Struthio camelus: one gene and its partners. The protein of the gene in region 1 binds, or shares a complex with, the protein of each later gene. Links are inferred from orthologs where the notes say so. Each region holds a gene or a part of one and is shown on either strand. Other genes may lie near its edges.

What was found. The genes of interacting proteins can lie anywhere in the genome.
Region 2: CYFIP1 (region 1) and WASF2 share a complex: the UniProt entries of both Homo sapiens proteins name them as parts of the WAVE2 complex. The link is inferred for Struthio camelus from reciprocal best matches to the Homo sapiens genes CYFIP1 and WASF2.
Region 3: CYFIP1 (region 1) and ABI1 share a complex: the UniProt entries of both Homo sapiens proteins name them as parts of the WAVE2 complex. The link is inferred for Struthio camelus from reciprocal best matches to the Homo sapiens genes CYFIP1 and ABI1.

What each region holds. Positions count from the first base shown.
Region 1 is NC_090942.1:148,825,267-148,832,957, reverse strand, and holds the start of CYFIP1 (cytoplasmic FMR1-interacting protein 1), read right to left. Parts: upstream 3,008-7,691; 5' UTR 2,993-3,007; coding exon 2,964-2,992; intron 2,724-2,963; exon of another isoform or gene 2,512-2,723; intron 2,270-2,511; exon of another isoform or gene 2,192-2,269; coding exon of another isoform or gene 2,178-2,191; intron 873-2,177; exon of another isoform or gene 731-872; intron 1-730. UniProt on the Homo sapiens protein: Component of the CYFIP1-EIF4E-FMR1 complex which binds to the mRNA cap and mediates translational repression. In the CYFIP1-EIF4E-FMR1 complex this subunit is an adapter between EIF4E and FMR1.
Region 2 is NC_090964.1:6,577,152-6,584,865, reverse strand, and holds the start of WASF2 (actin-binding protein WASF2), read right to left. Parts: upstream 3,013-7,714; 5' UTR 2,877-3,012; intron 1-2,876. UniProt on the Homo sapiens protein: Downstream effector molecule involved in the transmission of signals from tyrosine kinase receptors and small GTPases to the actin cytoskeleton. Promotes formation of actin filaments. Part of the WAVE complex that regulates lamellipodia formation.
Region 3 is NC_090943.1:19,262,233-19,269,793, reverse strand, and holds the start of ABI1 (abl interactor 1), read right to left. Parts: upstream 3,013-7,561; 5' UTR 2,881-3,012; coding exon 2,764-2,880; intron 2,073-2,763; exon of another isoform or gene 1,780-2,072; intron 1-1,779. UniProt on the Homo sapiens protein: May act in negative regulation of cell growth and transformation by interacting with nonreceptor tyrosine kinases ABL1 and/or ABL2. May play a role in regulation of EGF-induced Erk pathway activation. Involved in cytoskeletal reorganization and EGFR signaling.

The DNA.
Region 1 (7,691 bases):
TCTCTCTCAGAAGGAATAAACAAAGCATTCATTAAACTAAGGTGGATATCAGACAAACTTCCAATATAAAACACACAGCTGGAATAGGTATCTGCTCGTTCTTTACTTATATTTTAAGGACTGTATAGTGGGTCAAGAAAGTTTGTGGGTTCAAGCCAGGGGGAACATTTCCACCCTGAGAAAACTGAAGGAAAAAAAAAAAAAATCAAAGGTGTTCATAACAAAACATACATAAGTACCCTAAAGAACTACAAGTTTTTTTAAAGTCAGTCAAAGAGTTAAGAAATGAAAAGTATGGACTGTTTGTGGAACATTCACTTTCTTTTAACGTAGATTTTTTTGCAATTTATGTAGCAGTATCCACTTAGGAGATATTGCAATATTTAAACCCCAGAAATTTTACATTAACTCTGCTCCACGCATTTCAAACACTACTTCTCTATTCTCTCTCGTGATCATAACCCTCAGCAGGAATTCACCAGACCCAAGGTCAGCGAACAAAATGCACAAGGTCTTACTCATCTTCAGCACAGGATCCTTGTCTGTTTGTTTTTCTTAAGACTCCAGGCTTTTTCTTCCTTCTAAATAAGAATAACAATAATCTAGGCGTAACAACCTGGAAACCACAAAATACAACTGAGGTATTCTATCAACCACATCATTGTCCTGACAGAAAAAAAAATTCAAGCAAGTTGCTTTTGCAAAGAAACATTACTGTTTCATACTGTACCCCAAGTTTTCCAAAGGCTGGTTCCAAATACCTCCTCCTTCCTGGCAGCTAAGGAAATAACGGCTGCCTATTCCAGCTAAAGTTCACAGGCAAGTTAATTGCGAATGCTGAAAGAGCCTTTTAGATTAGGTCAGGAGGAACTCTGTGTTAAAAAAAAAACAAAAGCAGTTTTAAAAAGCGCAGAAGTAGGAGTTGGATAAATCCAAGAACCAGACAGAACAACCGCTGTGAGGACTAAGAACACAAGTTCAAGCACAGAGCTCAGAGATTCTCCGCCTGAGCATAAAACAGTTTGTAAACATGCAATTAATACCAATATAAAACAAAGATCAAGAAAGTACGTCATGGTATTATTAGAAGTTCCCATCTAAAAAAATACATTAACCAATGACACTAAACGCATGAGTTTTCAGTAAATTTGCTGTAATAAAGCTTTGGCAAATAAGTAAGTGAAATGCAATAAGGACTAGGGATGCTTACTAGAGAGTCTAAACTTTACATCTCCCGCAGTTTATGGTAAAGTGTTGTCTGACCTTCTAATTAAAGAGAAATTCTTCTGGACAACTTTCCTCTCCCCTCCAATGTATGCGCTTCAGCAACCACTTCAGGTTGATTCACTACATTCCTCAAAGACTACCTCCTCCATATAGTCTGTCTTCCTGACACAAATAACAATTTGCATGTCTAAACACTACTCACACCTATCATCAGATGGTACAGGAAGAAAAAATAAGGCAATGAGAACTAGAAAGGTAAAAACTATTAACAGACTTCCTGATGAACTAGAGAAGTATATGAAATCCATTTCGGCATGAATCCGTTCGCACATCGTAGACATATACAGAAGGTGCACGGTTACCACGATGCCTAGTAGGGAATTATGAACAGACGCTGCAACTCTCACTACAACGTAATTATCTTGATTAGAGAAAACTCAAGTTCCTCAAAATCCTACTCTGGGAATTCAGACAGATGCTCAATCATCTCTTTCAACTGAAAGAGGGGATGGATTTGCACGCCGTTTCTGACTTACTATTTCCCACCTCATCTGCTCCCCAACACCGGACAGCATCGGAAGCAAAGCTCTAACTATCCCAGCACCGCAAACAGACACACGGACTCCATGCGAGAGGGGACAACGAAACCCCCCCTCCCCCCATAAGCGACACACTTAAAACCGCTCTCCAATTAATCACCTGGGAGGATTCATACGCTTTCTGGCCTACCCCAGAAGCGGCAGCCCGCCCGCCCGCCCGCCCGCCGCAGGCTGGCAGTTACCCGGCAGGGCACCGCATCTTCTCCCCCGCGCCCTGCCACCAGCTACCTGCCCCAGCTTGCCCGCACCTGACGGGCCTCGCTCGGGCTGCGCGTATATATGTATGTATTTACACACACGCGCGCGCGTAGACAAGCGCACCGCGCAACGCAGCCTGCGGCACGAACTGACTTAAATTTCAGCATCCGGAGAAAACCAAACGTTTCTGCGGACAGGCGCGGGCAGGCAACAACACCGAGGCGGCTCCACGCAGAGCCCACCCCCCGCCTGCCGCCCCGCGGGCGCCCGGCGCTGGCGGCCGGCACAGGGCAGGGCAGGGCGGCCCAACCCAACCCGGCCCGGCCCGCGCAGCCCCCCGGGGCGCCGCGGCCTGAGCCCCGCGGCCGCCGAGAACGGCGCAGGGCGAGGCGGGAGGCGAAGCGGCGCCCCAAGCCGCGGAGGCCTGACCCCCCCCCCCCCGCCCCGCAGCCCCCGCGTCGCGCCGAGCCGGGCAAGCGCCGCTCACCCGCTGGCCGGCGGCTCCCGCGAGGGTCGCCCGCCGCCGGGGGCGGAGGGCTGGAGGAGGGGGGTGGGGGGGGGGGGCTCGGCTCGGCTCGGCTCGCCGCCGCCGGGGCTCGCGTCGGCCCGGCGGCTCCTCTCCCCCGGCCGCGCCTGGCTGGCAGTTTCCTGTCTGAGTCACTTCGGCTGGGAACTACGCAGGGAAACACCCTTCCTGCCGCTCCAGCTCCTCCTCCCGCCGCCCCATCCCAAACCTGCCGCCCCCCGCTCCCTCCCCGCCCGGGCCGGGCCCCGCCTCCCGCCGCCTCCCCGCGCAGCGCTGCAGGTGCCGGGCGGCTGCCGGGGCTCCGCGGCCGCCGAGGAGCGACTGCTCTCCCCCCCCCCCACCCCCCAACATAAGGCAAGCAGCCTTAGACGTTAGCTACCCATACAGACACAAGCAGAGCACGACTCTCTCACAGCTGCGCGTCAGCCCCAGAGAGGCTCATTCCGCAGAGGGACCAAGCTGCGCCCGGCCGGCCCGCGGCCGTTCAGCACGGTGCGGGGCGCCACAGGGACGCCCGGGACATGACGCCGCCGAGCGTGAAAGTCGCGGGCCGCGGCGACATTTTCCTCACTTGACGGGAGGGAACGAGCCCCCGCATCAAGGATCCGAGGCTAGTCTTAACCACAAGGGTTTCAAGAGAAAACCCTTGGAAATACTACCTCTAGGTGGTGCTCGCGTGGGCCTTGCTCCTACCTGGAATGCCACTGTTAATTGAAACTGAAAGCAGAAAAGCAAAAAGGCCAGTTTTGCTCTCAACCACCTCCAAATGTCATTGTTCTGTAAAACAGTAGCGTGTATATGCTTGTCTACTTTAGAAAGTACTTAGCTGTTGCACGTTTTCATTTCACACTCTGTTTTTGTCCTATTTCTCCAATTTTAAGATTCATCTACTTGACACTGTACCACAAAAAGAAATTTCTTCCCAAGTTGGTCACCAAAACTGGTCTTTCTGTCCACTATCCTACAGCAGACAGAACACACCTCTCTACTATATCTAGGGATTACAGTCAGTTCCGAACATAGAACAAACAGAATTGTTTGGAAATCTCCTCAAAGCCCCTTTTCTTGTATTTCACTACTTCAAGTTGCATCCCACATTTTATCTGCTTTTGAAAATCCTCCCTTACTCATTAGCAACCTGCACAGTTTTGCTGCAGCAAGCGATTTTCTCATCTCTGTTTTCAAGAGCTGCTGGTGAGATACTGTGCTGTTAATGCTTTTTGTGCTGAGAACAGAATAATTATTCCTTTCCTTGATCTTTGTTTTTTTCAAATTTCCACTGTTTTAAGTTTCCTTAAATAGCCTTTTTGTACAAGCACCTACAAGAAAGCCTTTGGGAAGTGGAGATAAGTTGCTAAACACACTAATCCTCATGACTTCAAGTACTGTTTTATCCATCTATTCTATCCATTCCACACCATCAAGAATTTCAGCATCTTGGGGAGAAATTATACACCATTTCAAAAGGTTGTTGTTGTTACTATTTCATCGTATTGCAGACTTACCTTCACAGTCATATTTTTTCCAGTGCTGCAATATTGTCCATTGGTATATGAAACAGTTTCTCTTCTAGGATGTCGCTGCTTATTCTTCTCTGACTGCTTGTGCACATACAATAGTATATTTTGAGTACATATATCAAATGAATAAATTCCATCTATCACAGTTCCTTATCATCCAAGCCTCTAAATCCAGGTCAAGCGAAAACTAGGAAAGGCTACCACAACGGGATTCTTCAGCTTTCTAAAATGACAGCTGACACTGTCCAGGTGCAATCCCTCTTACGCTCTCTTCCACAAACAGCGCTTGGGGCAATCAAGTTACTAAAGTGAAGAGTAACTCATGAAGACTAACTCGCCTTCGTAAGACAGGATCGTGCATGTTTGCTAGTCCTGGATTAGTGCAAACTCACAACAGCCTTGTCTTAATGCAACCACTTGGCCTAGATCAGCAGCAAGGCCTTAGTTATCAAGCCACAACAGAGCCCCAAGGGAGGCTGGAAGCACACCAAATTTCTGCAAGGCCCAATCAAGGAGCTGCTCCAATCAGAGCCAGAAAATCTGAACAGCAGCAGCTTGGCCCCACCAGCGTTTCTCCTTAGTGCTCCTGTGCAAGACTGCCACTGGAGCTTCCGTGCTTACAAAAAGTCATCTGGTGCCAGGAGTGCTGCTTCGCACAAAAGCCAGACCCTGCCAAGCAGCACCATACTGCCCTAACAATAACAACTTCTCGTACAACCGCCCGATGCTTCAGGGTCTTGCCATGTTCCTGCTAAAGAAACAGAGTGGGTGTAGGAGCTACTGCCCTCTACTGGGGCAATCTACCCTTTCGGACAATCCTGTACTCAAAATTTATAGCTACCCATAAGGTCAGATTAAAAATACTGATGGTAATTAAGCAGCTAGTCAAGACTTGTGTTGCTTTTCGGTTGTTTGGTATCGGGATTAGAGGACAATCACATTACAAGAACTGGATGTGTATGTTCTCTCGTAACAGCAAGGTATGCTTTTCAGAATTAATTTGGAAAGAGTCTTCACAGCATTTCAGCTGCCAGATTCAATTCTGAAATGCCCCACAACTCCCTGCTCACTCCACTTTTGTGCAATTTAAATAATGGGATGACAGTACTGGATTAAAGGAGCTAAGATATAGAGATCTCCATGACCCATTTCTGCCGTTACATTTTCCTTCTTCTGGGCCTGACTTTGAATGCTCTTAATCACACTCTTGCTTAATTGAATGTGAACCTCTTCCGCGCCTAGTTAAAGATGTAAGTTTCTATACATCCTGACCAAGCCATTAACTGACCCTTTATCCACTGGAAGATGGCTGTCGTTTTCATGAAGCCAACAGCTAGAATTAGAAACTCAACAGCCCTTTCTGGGTGGTAAAATATTTATTTCAACCTGGTATTTGAGCCCATACCTGTCAGTTATCTATAGTGAGATCTACAGCACTAACGTATCATGCTGTTGACAATTTGTGTACCCTACACCTAAACCAGATGAATATCATATGATACGGTGGTATCAAGCTTGATCCAATTCTCTGCCTCTGTTCAGGGGTATCTACGGTAGATACAGACACCCACAAGACTGTTTCCCGAATTCCAGTTATTTCGATTCCATTTTGATTTCTTTATTTGCACTTTACAGTATTTAGCAAAGTCTATGAAAGAAGAGCTTCCACAGGAATCTTAAGGCCCTGCCACTAGCTGTTTGCTATGTGTAAAATGCTTATGTACTGTCTCGGTTTCGCATCTTTCCACTCAGATATTTTAGTGATGAAGCTTATCGATACTTTACCTGTTAATTCAACAGAGATCTTCTCATCCTCATAAAGGAGGTAAAACACCACAGGAGGTAAAACTGCCATGATCCAGTACAGAAAGGCATTCATGAAGCCATGATCAGCTAGGGCTGCAGTGAGCCCAAGAATTGTAAACCATGCAGTGCTGCAAACAAAGAAAATAGTTAAAACTATAAATTAGTTAAAAACAAAAGCCATACCTCTGGCAACGTGTCAGTCACCTGTCCATGCTGTGAAGGGCTGGACAGGATTTTGGCTGAAGATGTCAGCACAGACTTCATTTTGTATCAGACGCGGCCAATGGTTTAAAGCACAGCAAGACCACAAAAACATTACACGTTCCCACACTACCTATAAGAAAACTTGTTGCAGCTCTCAAGAAGAGATAAACACATGTGTACAGGGCACAGGTTGTGGAGAGTTTAAGCAGAAGAGACCAAGTAGCAAGCAGCAACTGTCTAAAAGAGGTCTCAATGAGCAGACAGCTCAGAAAGTGAAAACCTGCCCATGGCAGGAAGCCTAGCCAGCTTATGACAAATACTAGTAACTCCTTCCAACAACAGACTACAGCCAAGAGCTTTCTGCTTCAGAAGGCCTTATGCAAATAAAAAGTGATCTGGTTGCCCACATCTATCTCTAACCCCACAAAAAGAAAAGATTTCTGACCCTGAGAGCACGTAGGTCACCAGTAGCACAGCTGCCAATAGCAAGCATGTTGCACATTTGTAAACACCCATCAGTGCATGATGAGATGTGCAGCTATCTTTTGATTTCCTTCCTAGTGCTGCATGCCATCATTTCAAACGGATATAAGTTTCCTGGTTCTGCTTTCCAATGCTAGAACATATGCCATCCTTTTGTTCAATACCTTCTGTTGCCCCCTGCCAACTCTGAAGGCTTTAACTCTCTCTGTCTGTACAATGAGCCCATGTCCCGCTGCTCCACTTTCCAATAACCTGCATGCTGAGCTGCCAACCACACCAGAGCCCACTCACCCAACTCCCTGACAGGCATGAATGAGTACAAATCCCTCCTTGACCCTATCAGAAATTATATGCATTTTGATCATGCAAGAAATCCGCACAGAAGACTATGGCATGTTTGTTACGCAGCTCATCATTACAACTGCATCAGAGTTCAGTACAGTCTTTAAAAGCATTCTTTAAATTTCTATCCTCTACAAGCCATTATCAAGGCAGACAGCACCCTATTAGGGATTTAGCATTGCAAGATATAGCCCGCCTTGCCCCAAACAGTTACATCCCTCCAGCAATGCATTGTCAGGAAGTAGCATCAATACATACATCTTTTATCACCCTTATTAGCTTTAATGCACAAATATTTTTATTGCTGTTTCAGGGTCACATGTTCTAACATCCAAGCAGCAGCCGAAATGTAATCCCTCACTTGGCCTCATCTGGATTCACATCCCTCCCTGCCATTACTCTTATCTCGACCCCAGCCCTACCTCTCTAATCTATTAATTTCATTAGATATCTAGCGCCATGACCAGTGGTTTTGTACAGCTTTTCCAGCAATAAATGCAGTGCAGCAATGAGCCACTGCACAATCCAGTAAATGAGAATTTATCAATAAGGGAAGGGTTTTTTGTTTTTTTGTTGTTGGTGGTGGTGTTTTTGTTGGCTTTGTTTTTGAAGTGTACCAAAGAGTATAAGAGGAAAGCTGGAACACTTGTAAATCTCTAGGGTCTTTTAAGATTGAAAAGCAGCTGGGGGGAAGGATTTTTTATTTATTTATTTTTAATCAGCCGGCAATTTGGAGCTGCTAGCTTTACTCTATGCTACTAAGGAAAACATAAAATCAACAACTAC
Region 2 (7,714 bases), on another chromosome or scaffold:
ATAGGGTAGGCACAAAACAAAGTAGTTGGAAACACACTGCATTTCCTTTTCCCCAAACTCTTGGCCTGCATTTCCCCCCCTCCCCCCAGCATAGTTTTACAAAGCCAGAGCTTGAAAGATTTGTTAGGAATGTACACCAGACAGAAGCTAAAGCGAGAAATGGGGGCAAGCCTATAGCCTAAGATCAGGTAAGAGAAGACTGTTTCATTTCATTGCTGCACCTTTGATTTTGTGGGGCTGGGGCTGTGAGAACAGTGAAATGAAGCAGGGCTCTTGCTAACATCACCGTACAGCAGCTTGGAAAAACTGATCAGCAGCAGAGAGATTGGAAAGGCTTATTTCCATTGCTTTGAAGAGGAAGGAGTCTAACAGGCATGAGCCACCAGAAGGGTTTTTTTTTTTTTTTTTTTTAAAAAAAAAAAGGATGGAATTTGGGATATTTACTTCTTGAACTTGTTACAAGATAAATAAACAATATCAACTTTCTTTTTTTAAAGCAGTGAAAACATGCTGCACTTTGGGAAAGAGTTTACATTCAGTTCACCCTTGGAAAATTATGCTCTTACAACCAACACCCATTACATATAGCAAAGCTTCACCTTGATTCGCCTGGGCTACATAGGGAGCTGATAGGCCTGCTCTTTGCCCCTAACTGAAGGGAGTCTTTTAGTCAAGCAGCATGTGATGCTTTCAAAATGAGAGGTTCTGGGTTCAATCCCTGCTGTCACCAACCTGCTCAGGTGCAATACTGCCCACTGCACCTTGTGCAAGGATTTGAATTAGGCCTCAAAGACTGTGGTCAAGCTGTTTCATTCAAATCCTGTATTTCAAGTACACACCTTAAAAAAAAAAAAACCTGCAGAATTGTGAAGTGCCTGACCTACTCCACCCCACTCGCTGGATAAAGCTTGTCCTTGGCTGCGAGTGCAAGTGGATTTTCAAAGTCACTCTATCAACATATTGTCTGTGTTTTCAGTTGGTAGATGTAAGCTTTAGTTTGTTTTTAAACTAAGTTTGTTTTAGCTAAGTATTAGTTTCTATGACAAAAATCCACTCAAGGTCACTAAAAGGCCAGTCAGAATTCCTAATGAATAGGGTTGCAACACAGCATTTTAATTCCAGCAGCATTTTATAGCAACCAATTCTACAAGCTTTTAAAACTAGCAGAAAACATAACTATTCCCCTTCCTCATGTGATCAAGCAGACACACTTTAATACTTCCCATAAAGTAACATTTTGCATCAACTTTGCCACAGGGAAACGCACACACACACTACTGGCCTGTCACGTCTTTTACTTTCAATCTTTCCGTTCTCACGAGATTTCCCAGTTCGAGGGAAAGATGCACAAGTGTGAGAGTTACAAAAGGTTTGATAACTTGTGGCCTTGTCTGCAGCAATTATAGCCTGGTCTGTATCAGGTGTACTCACTGAAGTTCCTTATCATCATTAAGATTATTTCATATCCACTAAGATCTGCCATGCTGGGAGTCTTAGACTGTCAGCATTTTCTAATGTCTTATTGAACAGGCCAATACTTGGCGTTCACACGCCATATAGTCCCGCTAGCAGGTCCATCTACGTGAGGGCTCCCAAGTCTGCTGCTACTAATGGAAGTAAATCAGTAAGGCCAAATGTGAAACTTTCAGCAGAAAAAAACTCCTACCAGAGGAAGGTCTTTAAGGTCAAACAATAGCTAACAGGGAGGAGCTGCAACATCTTGCCTTTCTCCAAAGGACATACGCTATTTGTATCCCAAAGGAGTAGCTCCAATATAAACCCAAATGCTAGTGAGGTACAACCCTGAGGACATTGCCTGGCAACTTATTTCTTCTCTGAAAGAAATATGATCTGAGGTCACTGGTAGGTCAGCACATTTGACCAAATTACCCAACCATATGCCGTTACACCCTTTAAAGCTTCTTTTCAGATAGTGCCCAGGGATTTAACACTAGGGAAGATATTTCCAACATATGCACCCACACAGTCCTACCTCAAGTAGTTTGACATTTTACATGGCTGCATGGTTAGCTGCTAGTTGAGGGGCTTACACACATCCATAAGGTGTACCCACACATACTGAAGGATGCACCCACTTCTGGGGCAGGAGGACAGCCAGCAGGGAGAAAGCATTTTCACAGCAACCCTCCATGAGGGCAGTCACCAGAACTTGCACCAACAAGGGCAGTCAGCCACTCGCACGGATAAACTTTCTACACAAGTAAGAGACACGCACGCATTTGCGCAAGCACCATTTCGATGAACTAATGTCAAGGCCTGAGAGCAAAGGCTGCGACCAGCCTGGTAAGGGAAGGACCCCCGCCACCCCCAGCAAAGCAGCACTTCTTCTCCTTTAGGGAGCACCCCAGCAACCTCTCCTCCTCCCCAGGCCCCTCAAGTTATTCCCAGCTAAGCTAGACCTCAGTAACAACCCCAGGACAGGGGCTGACACCACTAAGAGCTCAGCACCCAGCCTTCCCCTAACCCAGCCCAGGGCACTGGCACCCCCCGGGCAGGGCAGCCCCCTCCCCCTCAGCCCCCCAGGCAGGGCAGCCCCAGCCCAGGCCACGCAGCCCAGCACTGAGCCACGGCCCCTGGGAGGGGCAGGGCAAGTGTCAGCCTGGGATAAGGCCATTCCCTTCCCCCTTCCTCCCCCCGCCCCAGGCCGGGGCCAGACCCCCCCCCAAGACCGGGGGCACCAGAGCCCACACAGGGCAGGGGGCTCACTATGTAGCAGGAAACAGGGCCCGGCTCACCCCGAGAGCTCACTATTTGGCAAGGGCCTAACGGCCCACCCCAGCGCCTCCGCCTCTTTCCCCGGGGAAGAGGCGGCCGGGGGGGGCCGGGGGGTCGCCGCTACCCCCTCTCGCACTCACCCCACTCCGAGGCTGTCTTCTGCGGCCCCCTCGGCTCGCTACCACCAGGGCGGGCCAGCCCGGCCGTCCGCCATTCCACGGCTCCCCCTCCCTACCCTGACTAAACTTTGCCCCGCCTCCTCCCGGCCGCCGGTCCGCTACACCGTTGGCTCGCTGGCCAAGGCTACTGCCCTGCCATTGGCTGAGCGCTGCCGTCTATCAAAGCCGTCCTACGCCACTTGCGTACGAAATCGGAGCAGCAAAAGAACCCCACCCAAGCGGGCCGCGCAAAGTGAGTAAACAGGGAGGAAAGTACCATCCAGGGGATTAAAGAGGGGATCCTTGGATGACAAGGAGAGAAACATTTCCAGGGAAGCGGGGAGAATCCCGACGTCACGCAAAGCGACAGAATTTCAAAATATACATCTGGGACTGTGGGTGCCAGAGCACGGTTTTCTTCTAGGTTAGCCTGGAGGAAAAGGGTCTCTTTCCTTTCCGGAGTCCCCCCCCAAGTGCTGCACCTTGGTGCTGCCTTTCGCCTCTATGGTCTGACGCCCCGCAAGGAAAGTTCCACCTGGGGGAGCGGGGGTGTCACGCCAGGGCGGCGCGGCCGCCGGGGGGGGGGGGGAAGAGGGGCAGGGGTGGGGGTGAGGGGGCGGCGGTGGGATAGGGTGGCAGTTGGGGGTCAGGGGTGGCAGTGAGGAGTCAGGGGTGGGGAGAGGGTGGCGGTTAGGGGGTAGGGGTGGGGAGAGGGTGGTGGTTAGGGGACAGGGCTGGGGACAGGGGTGGCAGTGAGGAGTCAGGGGTGGGGACAGGGTGGTGGTTAGGGGACAGGGCTGGGGACAGGGGTGGCATTTAGGGGAGGGGGTGGGGACAGGGTGGCAGTTAGGGGGTAGGGGTGGAGACAGGGTGGCGGTTAGGGGACAGGGTGGCAGTGATGGGGTATGGGTGAGGGGCTTTGGGGAGAGGGGAGGAGGGAGCAGGGCAGGGGGCTGAGGGGGACAGGGCCAGGCAGGAGCCTGGCAGTCACCAGCTCTGGGGGTGCAAACCCAGACACCCACCTCTGCCTGTCAGCCACGAACCACTGCCAGGGGTACCCACCGCCAGGGGTACTCACCACCAGTGTTACCCACCACCAGGGGTACCCACCACCAATGTTACCCACTGCTGGAGGTACCCACCACTAAGGTTACCCACCACCAGGGGTGCCCACCACCAATGTTACCCACTGCTGGAGGTACCCACCACTAAGGTTACCCACCACCAGGGGTACCCACCACCAATGTTACCCACTGCTGGAGGTACCCACCACTAAGGTTACCCACCACCAGGGGTGCCCACCACCAATGTTACCCACTGCTGGAGGTACCCACCACTAAGGTTACCCACCACCAGGGGTGCCCACCACTGGGGGTGCTCACTGCCAGTGTTACCTACCACCAGGGGTGCCCACCACCGGGGGTACCCACTGCCAGGGGTACCTACCACCATGGGTACCTGGCACTGGTGTTACCCAACACCATGGGTACCCACCGCCAGTGTTACCCACTGCCAGGGGTGCCCACCACCAGGGGTACCCCCTGCCAGGGGTACCTACCACCACCGTTACCCACTGCTGGGGGCACCTACTACCAGGGTTACCCACCACCAGGGTTACCCACTGTCGAGGGTACCCAGCCCTGGGGGGGTACCCAGCCCCCCGGGGTGCCAGTGCCGGGCCCAGGCGGCCCCTCTCTGCATGGGCCATTTGGGGCCGCGCCGGGGCGGCGGCTGCGGGAAGCTGTCGAGTGACGTTGCCTTTGGCTCCAGCACCGTTTCCTCTCCGTGCCCCGACACTCCCATACGCGGCTGGGAGCAGAGTCGCAGCACAAACGAGCCTCCTGATTTAGCGAAGGGGGCTGACGGTGTGCGCGGCGGGGACACGCGCTCTAAATTAAAACCCCGACACGGGCAGCGATGCGGGAGGGCCTCGCTGAGTAGACGCCGCTGCAAGTCCTGGTCCTGCAAGGACGTTTTGTCCCTGCTCTGCTTTTCACGTGTGACTGGCCCCGGTAAAGGCAGAAGTCTTGCAGGATGGGGGGGTCGCAGTGGGACAAGCAGCGTGCTGAGCATGCCGGGGCTCAGAAAAGCCTGATTCTCCTCTCTGCCCTGCTGCAAGCTTAGGTGACCCTGGGTGCATCCATCCCCCTCCTTTTCACCTCGGTTTTGCCCTCGGCAGAGCAAGGGTGATGCTAGTGACCCTCCGCAGAAACCCCCTTGAGATCGCAGGGGTCAGCTCTGCGCAGGGATGAGGAATGGGGTGTACAGCAGTGCAGGTTGCTACAGACCAATAATCCTCTTCTACTTGGAAAAGCTATCCTCAAGGGGGGAAGGAGGAAAGAGAACAAAGATTTCCATTGTCCCAAGCTGCAGGAGTAAATACCTGATCAAAAATTAACAGCACACGGTACCCAGTACGCCTTCGCCACAGCCTCTCTGTCTGTGCACTTGTGGTAAATCTTTTTCCCCACTGCCTGATTATAACCATAATTGCTGACTTCATTTATACCTAAAGGAGCCAGGAAAAGAAATGGACACTAACAAAATAAATGGCGTAAGGCACAGACATCTATCTATTCGGAGCTCAAAGTGATCGTGCTTTAAAACAAACTGCAGTGAGTAAATCACTGGCTTTTCTGTCACTTCCCCATTGGAAGCAAACAAATCCATTTAAGAGCGCTGCTGCTAACTGCTGCGGCGGCCAGGGAAAGCACACGCCAAGCACAGGTCCCACGCGCTCCCCGGCCTGATTCGGCGGCGCCGTGAGCCGCCGACCGGCGAAGGCGACGGCCCTGGCTGCCTCCCGGCCAGGCTGGAGCAGCCCGGGGGTTGCTCCGACTTGTGCTGGCACGCCTCCGGCGCCCTCGAGGTCGAGATGGGCACGTGCACTATTGAAAATAGCTGTTTCTCCCTTATGCATCTCTTTGCAGGGCGTCCTCGGCAACGGTCGGTGCAAAGGCCGGACGCCCTGCGCCGCCCCGTCCCCCCCCCGCATACTGGGGGAAAGCTGCCGCCGCGGCGCCAGGGCAGGGACGCGGGAGCCGGCTCTAGCACGGCGGCGCTGGAGGCCGCTCGGCTCCAGGTTTTCCAGGCTGCCAGCAAGCCGTTCCCTTGAAGATCTGCTTCTATCTCAAGGTGTCACAGCCTCAAGGGAACCACCTAATCTGTATCTGCACTGCAACCTTTATCTCTCCCCGTCTGTGTGAGAGGCTCTGTTTATAGCTGCCGAATAATACCTGCTAAATTGCAGTATCCAGCCCCCCCGCGCTACCCCCTGACACTTGTTTCTCTGCAAGAGGCATGCTCTCGCCTGCCAGGTGCCTCCCTGCATTTTGCTGAGCGTAAAATGCTGATGCGCCCGCGCGAGGGCCGAGGCGAGGGAAGGGGCCGGAGCCGGCGTGCTGCGGCTCTCGCTTCCCTCCCGAGCGGGCGCAGGCTGCGACTGAAGCCCCGATAACCCTAGAAAGGCCCTGCCGCAAATTGCTGCTTCATCCCACCCCACCTTTTTCCTTAACCCAGGCCTTGCTCCTTCCTAAAACTAAGCGATGCCTGCCAGGCCCGGCCTCATCCTTCCTCCCCGCGACCCACGGAGGGGGGCGAGCGGAGATCCTCGACGGGACGGCCGCGGCGTATCTCGCCCAGCCTTGCTCGAAGCCAGCTCCGCGCCTTCAGCCTGCCGAGCCGCCGGCCCGGCCGCGAGCGGCTCCGCGACAAGGACGCGGGGTGGCTTTGCCTCCCGTGGCGGCCCCGTCCTCGCCCGGGAGGTCGGCCGAGCGGCTCTCCCGGGACACCCGCCAGGAGGGTGCCGGGAGCCTTGGTGCCCCTTCCACGCCCTCCGGCTCCGCGAGCAGCTCGGAAAACAACCGAGAAGGGGCTCACGGCCGTATGGCCGCGGCGGCAGGGCGCGGGAACGCCCGGCGTCGGGGACCGCGGCGGGTCCGGCCGCCGGCACCGCGGCTGCGAGGATGCTCCGAGCGGGGCCGGGGGCGCGCGGTGCCCGCCGGGGCCCCGAGCCAGCGGCGCGCGGGGCAGTCGCTGTGCTGCTGACATTTACTAATCAGCTCTAACCTTAGATGCACACACTCTCCGTCTCGCTTGCTGTCTTGTCTCCATGGAGACACCGCAACCTTTGCTCACTCGTTAATGGTATCTCGGCAAACGAAACTCCAACGCCACCCAGCCTCCCCCCCCCCCCCCCCGCCGCTGCCGCCCCCCGGGAAGGGGGAGGCTCGCCCACGGGAGAAATCCTTGCCTCTCCCCTCCATCCTCTTCCCCTCCCGGAGCCGGGGGATAAAAGGTACGAGTCCTTGTTAGCGAAGGACGGAGCCCCGGTGGGTGATTCGGGGGCAAGTTCAGACGGCGGCGAGGGGAGGAGGGAGAGCGACTCGGCTCGACACGTCCTCGCTGGGATAAAACAAGGCCCCGGGATTTTATCGCTGCAGCAGCCACCCAGGGCTCCGGCCGCGGCATCGCGGGCAGCAGTCGGCCGCGGCGGGCCGTGCCCGGGGCCGTCCCCCCCCCCGCCGCCGCCGCCGTGCCCGCTCCCCCCTTCCCCGAGCTGCAGGTTCAGCACAATCCGCAGCCGAGCGGGACTCGTGGCCCGGCTCGCCCGAGGTTACCGTGCGCCCCCCTCGCCAAGCCCAAATCCTCCTCCGCTTGACGGCGACCACCTGCGAAACCCGCCGGCGGCGGGCGAGGAAAAGCAGAGGGGTCCGCAGCGCGCCGGGGGGCGCCGCCGGGGGAGCCGCGACGTGCTCCGTTCCCCGGTGTCCTGCTCTCATGGATTCTGTTTTCAAATTAACATGGGAAAGATGCCCATT
Region 3 (7,561 bases), on another chromosome or scaffold:
TTTGTTAAAGTAAACAAAGAATTAAAAAATAATAATATCAAGAGTTTTGAGTGAATGAGTGCTATTATAATTATTGTAAATTGTTAATACCAGCAAACAGAATAATCAAACTTGTTCCATCTCAACCTCACCATGCAGAGGAGGTCTGAGTACAGAATAATAGATTTTATACTAAATAGCACACAATCTTTCCCATACAAAGACAGAAAACTATCCAGACTCAAAGCTATCCAAACTCAAAGAGGACAGTTTGAGTCAGTTACATAGGACAAATTATGACACATAGCCAATCCTAAACTATTTTAGCACTCACTTAACATATAGGTTCTCCATTCTGGCCTGTTTTTTTTTTTTTTTTTACCCCCTTCTTTTTAAATGCTCCCTGTTGCATTGACTATTAGTTACTAACTCAATTATATTAAACACAAACAGTTTACATTTTGTGTTGGTTAAGCCTCTTCCTCTTTCCTCCCTTCCCTTCCCATACCACACACGCACGCGCACACACACACACATACATACACACACTCTCCCAGTCCTCACAACCCAGACTCTCAGTGTCATATTGCCTAATCCTGCAGTGGCACGACCACAGGCACAGGAAGTATAATCTGTTCAGTAGTCCAACTGGAGAGCAGATGGCTTTGCACAAAGTGCTGATTAAAAAGAAAAAAAAAAAAACCAAAAAAACCCTCTACCAGACATTCAAAAAAAAATCAGTTTTATAGATATATTTGCCATTTTTACTGACTTGAGTCTGATCTGTGCACCATGCAAGCTAGGTATACATTCTTCAGAGCTGCTGCTTAAATCCTTATTAGGAATTTTAGAACTTCAGCTTCCTTCCAAAAAGGATAAACACAGCTGTACACAGATAAACCATCAGACTGTACCAATTCCATATCCAATTGACCCTGATACTTGAGGTGAAAATGAGCTAGAGGGGGGAAAAAATCCTGACAAACAACTGGATGAGAAGGAGTTTAAATGTTTTTTGCTTGCTTGAAAAAGAGAAGGCAAGTTTTAGGACCCTGAAAAAAATCATATAGCCGAAGATACTCTGCAACTTTTTAACACAGGAGAAAAAGTCAGGAGACGGGTCAAAACTTGTGCTGTAATTACCATACTCATGTATTTGTCATAATTTCCCATGAGTAAAACTAAATGAACCTCGCCTCTTAGAAGCATTTATATCAGCAGCTTTATTTGGGTGGAGCAAACAAGTCGGAAGAGTAAATACACATCAACTCTTATTGCCTCACAGAAAAAGAGTCTTAAAAAACACGGCTCGTTAGTACAGCTTTAATCTAAATACCAACATTAGCTCATATTAAAAAAAAAAAAAAGAAAACAGATTCCAGTACAGATTCTTATAGCCTGGTTTTCAAGTTTGCTGCTCCATTATTAAAAATAGTAAGTGTACTAGCAACAATGGACACCAAAGATTTTAATAACACTTATTAAGTACTCATTACAGGTAGTCTAGTATTACATTCAACAAGTCAACTTTACAAGCTGTCTAGTAAGTAGTGTAATTTAATTGCTTTTTTTTTTTTTTAAGAAAAAATGAAAGAATGTTTAATCTGAGCATCTCTTCGTGGCTCTGAATCCACATCAGTATGGCTACATATACAGATCTACATTCCGACTTAAATGCTGCAAAGCCAAACCCTCAAAAAATAAAATAAATTAAAGTGTGCTTAAAGTAGCTTCACAAAAATGACTTAAAGCAAGGCCAAGAAGCACCAGCAAGCTACGAGGGGAAAAAAAAATACGCACTGACTGGTGTAGACAAGCTTCAACCAATGGAGCCTCTTCCAGCAACAGAGAGCCGGTCTAAAATTACTGTCATAGGATGGTTGAACTAGGAAGCCTCCAAGAGGCACAGATTGCCATTTTGAAATACCACATCACGCTCACACGTTAGCACCGGTATGCCGGCCGCTTCCTGCTCTCACAAACCGCTCCTTTTCACGATTCAAACCTGCAGCGCATCACGCCAAGACAGTGATTCGCGGGGCCTCGGCGAGAATTACGCGGCCGGGATTAAAAGCAGAATTTCCACGGCGAGGTCCCTCGGGCGACGGCCCTGCGTGATGTCAGCCGCGCGCGCGCGCCGTGCCCCGCCGCCCCCCCCCGCCGCCCCTCAGCGCCGCCCGCGGCCCCCGCGCCTCAGGTGCGAAAGCCGCGCGCCGCCGCTCCACGTGAGGCGCGGCGCTGCCCGCCTCACCAACCGCCACCAACCGCCGCGGCGGGCCCGCCTCGCCGCCCGCCACACCGAGCGCCCCGCGCTGCCCCGAAGGAGCCGCGCCGCCGCGGGGCGACGGCTGACGGGGAAACCTGAGACACCGGCTCTGACCCGGCCACACGGCGCGGCTCACAAGCCCCACCACCATCCCCCCCCCGCCCAGGGAGGTCTCCGGGATGTGACTCATAATAAATAAATTTAAAAAAGAAAAAAAAAGACACACCCTCTGAGCCGGACTGACATAATAACCCCCCCCCCTTCGGAGCGGGGGAGAGGAAAATCCAGTCGTTCAGCGAGAAAAGTTAAAAGAAAACGCAAATCCGGGGGAACGGCGGAGGGGCGGGGGCGGGCAGGGAGCCGCGGCGGGGGCAGCGGGGCGCCGCGGTGCCCCAGAGGCGGCCGCGGCCCCGGCTCCGCGCCGCCGCCCGCACCGGAGAGCCGCCCTGCCTCCCCGCCCTGCCGCCAGCCTCCGCGCCCCGGTGCGCCGCACGGGCGCTGCCCCCGCCGCCCCTCACCTGGATGTAGTTGTTTTCGCAGTAGTCGGCGACCCGAGTGAGGTTCTGGTAGCTCTCGAGCAGAGCCCGCTTGCCAGAAGGGATTTCCTCCTCTAGTAACATCTGCAACTCTGCCATTTTCCACCCCTCCGCATCGCTTCCTCCTGCATTAAAGAGACAGCGGCAGCTCCGAGCTCACAACCCGCCTGGTATTGTGGGATTCCTCCTCGCCTCGCTTTCGTGAGCTCTCGCTTTCCCCACCCATCCTGCCCCCTCGGAGAGAGGAGGAAAAAAAAAAAAAAGAAAAAAAAGAAAAAAAAGCTCTTTGCAAAGGAAGCTGGGAATCGTAGGCACCGCTGCTCCGCGTAGGGCGCTTGCGCGGCGAGGCGGGCGCTGCTCATGGCCGCCGCCCGCGGCCGCGGCGGGATGGTGGCGGTGCTCGGGGGGCCGCCGCTGCCCTCCCGGCGCGGCCTCCGCGGAGGGAGGCGGGAGAGGGGCCGCCGGCCTCATGAGGGGCGGGCGGGCAGGAAGGGAGGGAGGAGGGAAGGGGGCAGCGCCATCCTCTCGCCGAGCTGAACGAGGCTGTCGCGGCGGCGGAGGGCCTGGGCGAGGGCCCGGGGGTCGGTCACGACACGCATCGCCGACCGCAACGCGCGGGCTGCGAGCGCTGCCCCCGCCCCTGGCTCTCCGAGCCCTTCTCCAGCGCCTCTTTTCCTGCTGCTCGTTTCGTCCCTCCTCAGAAAAACCCAGTCCCACCAGGGCTGCCCTGGGCGAGGGTCACCTCTCCAGGAGAAGCGGCAACAGGGTGCGGGGTGAAGCTCTGCGCTGGTGCTCTGGCCAGCGACCACCTCAGATGGGGCAGGGCAAGGCTCGAGCAGCATAACAGCAAAGGGTGGCAGAAATTGGTAAGGTGGTAAGAGCGTCACAATTAGAGGTAATTAGTCCGAGGGGAAGTCTGTTCCCAGCTGGTTCTCCCGTGGAGTAGGAAAAACACCAAATCTAAGCTGTGTAGATTTTTTTTTTTTCTGGGCCTGCCCAGAAGTGACAATTCACAAACAATTAGCATTTATCTTTTTAATATCATAAGAAGAACTTAAATATTATACTGGGATGAATACGTTATTTGTGGCACTCTCTTGCCGTAGTTGTTAATCGTTGTTTAGGCTTTTGTCCAATTGTTGTTGAAAAGATGTGATGGATAAGGGTCCAGTGATTCTTCAGTAAAATATTTTTTGCATATATTTTTTTGAAAGTCAAATCCTCTTTCCGTGTTCATACCAGAAAGAAGCCAATAACAGCAGGTGCCTTATGTGCTGAGAAGTCCAAGCCTGCCTTCCAGTAAGTAGCAGGCCCAAACAGAGCTGTTTCCTAGCTCCATTATTCATGCCTTGGCTTTGCTTGCCTTGTGTACGCACTCACAAACACAACTGGGGTCAGCCTTTGCATTTTAGTAATTGTCCTGGAGAAACCCATAGCAGAGAAATGTCAACGTATTTAGGAATGACACCCTCAAAGACATCCTAGTAAGAGCAGATTGCCTTAAATTGCGGCACAGTCATGGTATTTTGCATGTTCATTGTCCAGTGGAGTCCTTTCTCTGTCTGTAGTACTGAAAACCACTCTGGGCAGGATCCTTTGGCATACCTGCTTGCCTAAGTCAAGAGAAAGGAAAAATATATCTGCCTCTCCCTGAGAGGTCAGCAAAGTCCAGCATCTCAGTCTAGAGCGCTGGAACCAAGCATGAATGGCAGGGGGCCTGGGAAGGACGTGTGGGCCTGGGAAGGTCTTTGCAGCTGGAGTTACAAAAACCACCACCTGGCTGGGGAACGGTGAGACAGCTACACAGAAAGGCATTCCAGTGCATCCTGGGACATCGCAGAAAGGACCTGCTACAGCACTTCCTGTGGGATAGAGAGGAGTCTACATTGCTCCGCAGGTTAATTCGTTTGGCAGCTCAACAAAATTGTTTCCAAAGTGGTTTCGATAATTCTCTTTAGGACAGCATATAATTTCCAATCAAACATTTTATTTAGGATTTTAGGTGCCATTTTAATATAAAGTAAATTTGATATGCAACAGTACTGAAATATAGACAAGCCTTTAATGGGTCCCACAGCAAATGTGATCAGAAACTGTCTTGGGCACTGACTTCTCCTTGTTTCCAGCTATAATACAAAGACAAATTTCATGTCTTTATTCAGTCTGGCTGCAAATTGCTTAACGCACCCATTGGCTTGGATGAGTTTGTAATTACCTACAGATCAAAGACTGACTTCATGGAAGCTGTTAACATCCTCAAACGCAGCACAATTGTTGGTAGTTCTTCTTCAAATGCTATTGCTGCCCCTGTATGAAGGGTTGGCAGATGTTTGGGGTCTTGAACATCAACTTTTTTCAATATTGGAAAAATCAGTTATGTGTATTTTGCTAAATGCATTGTGCTTCGCTTCAGTGGGCAAACAAGCCCTAAAAGCAGATGGCAGAACAGCAAGCTGAGTAGGGGAGTGGTGGCCCTTAGTGAATACACCCTCCTCAAACAGTAGAGCAGAGGCTTCAGGTGTTCATACGGCCCCTTTCCCTCCATGGATCTCAACCCAAAATGCCTTGCATAAACCCCAAACTTGCCAACTCTTCCTAAAGTGTGATTGCAGCCCAAGAGGAGCTTGGAAGACCGCATCAAAGAGCGCCATCTTGTGACATGTGCTACAGCACTTGTTGTAGCCTTACTTGCACAGCCAGGGTTTAACCAGTACATAGAGGATAGAGCTACTGCAAGTATAGAAACACAACAGCTGGCTCCACACCGAGCTAGGTCAACTCCAGCAGAACTTTTTAACTCAGTGCCATACAACCACAGGTATGTTGCTGCTAGGCCAGGCTAGATGAGAGGCACTGGGAAACATAGTGTGGATGTGCTCAACCAGATCAGCAGGCCTTATTAGCTCCTGATCCATGTTAGTCCTCCTGGTTTCAAAATGACTCCCTGGAGGTTCACCTGAGTGTCTTTACAGTGTGTTCCTCATCTCTCAGGTTCTCAGGGGATGTATTGACTCAGATGCACTAGACCCAAGCTGGCTCCATGAACATGTATGGTGTGTACACGAAGCAATTCCCATGCACCTGAAAGCACAGACGCATTCAGGTAGCTGTATAAGAACTTGCCAAACCTAGCAAAACCAGCACTGAGCCAGAGCCAATAAACCCTTGGACCTAAGTTGACCTTTTTTGAAGACACTGGTGTATGTCTGAACTGCGTTCACCATGGTGTCCTTTAGAAACTGTTTTATGCTGTTTTTTTTAATTATCACACTTTCCCATAGTTCTAGACAATGAACTGTTGATGAGAATGGAAAGTTAACTAACTTGCTCAAGATTTATGAAAGTGTGCAAGAGAAGTGAGACTAAAACATTTTACTAGAGCCTGGACTGGTGGAGAAAAAAATGTAATGATGCTCTTCAAGCTCCAACTAAGCAATCATTAGAACGAGATCTCATTCAGAGTAAAGTGTGCTTGTGTAACTCTGTGTCTCAACTGCCTATATGAGCTTCACTTCCCCCTCAGTGGGCATGGTGGTCTCCAGGGGCAATACTGTCCTTCTGGGACGTAGCTCATTCCTGACTAGCACAGAAGAATGTGGCTGTCTTCTAAATGCATCCAGCTGTAGCATCAAAGCAACTTCTCCTGCACTATAATTTATGTAGTTCTGTAACTGTCTGTTCTGTTTTCTAGGCCACAGATTGATGTATGTCTTTGTTTTTCCCTTGGGAACAGTACTTGCTTCAGTAGTGTTGATTGGAAAATAACCATTTATTTCTTGTTGGACGGTTTCTCGGCTGGATCAGTTCTTGATCCAGCTGTCTAGCCACACAAGTGTTTTTGACTAGGGCACTGGAGAGGGAGATGAGGGATCAGAGGGGACAGCTGGAAGTGTAGGGGACATGGCACCTCTTCGGATCAGCCATGTCAGCTCTACTGCCAAATGCCAAGCCTCATGTTCTTGTCAGAAAATTGTTATTGATTACTGTGATATAGTTACACAAGTGCAGCTGTACTAGGACAATCCTACATGAATACTTACCAAAATCTTTTTTTTTTCTGGGACAAAAAGAGGCTTTTTTGGTGTTTCTTATTCCATATTAGAAGTAACTGGTCAAGAAGCTACAGAGCTATATTGGTTTGCCTTCCTGTGCTTTAGATCTAGCACACAGAGATTTACTTAAGAACTAAAATAATTAACCGTGTTGATATTTTAATTATCATCACAGGGTATCTGAGTGTTGGAGAGATGAATGAGGTTGTTCCCGCTTCTTGGAGATAATTTGCCGGGCTCTCTGCACTCTCCTGGGCATCTCTGCATGTGCTTTTCTCAAGTAATATTTTTAAGTTTTTCATTACAGTTGTACCAACCAGAGACGTTCCCTCCCTCCTCACTGTGAAGGCAGAGATATTTGGAGCTGGCGTGCTGTAGGGCTGCGTCCCGGTGCTGCAGAGGCTGCGTGCTTGGGGTCTGGTGCCCCGTCGGCGGGACACCTTGCCACTCGCGCTGCCAGTTGCTAGGCAGCAGGAGAGCTCTGCCACGACAGAGCATGCACACGCCAACCACACATTGCTAGGCAGCGTAAGCCGCTGGAGAGCACAGAAATAATAAGATTCAAAATTGCTGCCTTGAGAATGCATAAGATAAGAGCAGCACAAAAATAAATAGCTCTACTGTATTTTGACATGACCTTTCTCCTCTAATATATTTTCACTTGCAGGATTTGCCTTCTGTCTCAACCTCATTTTTCATACAACTCTCTCCTCTTCATCCCTCCTGCA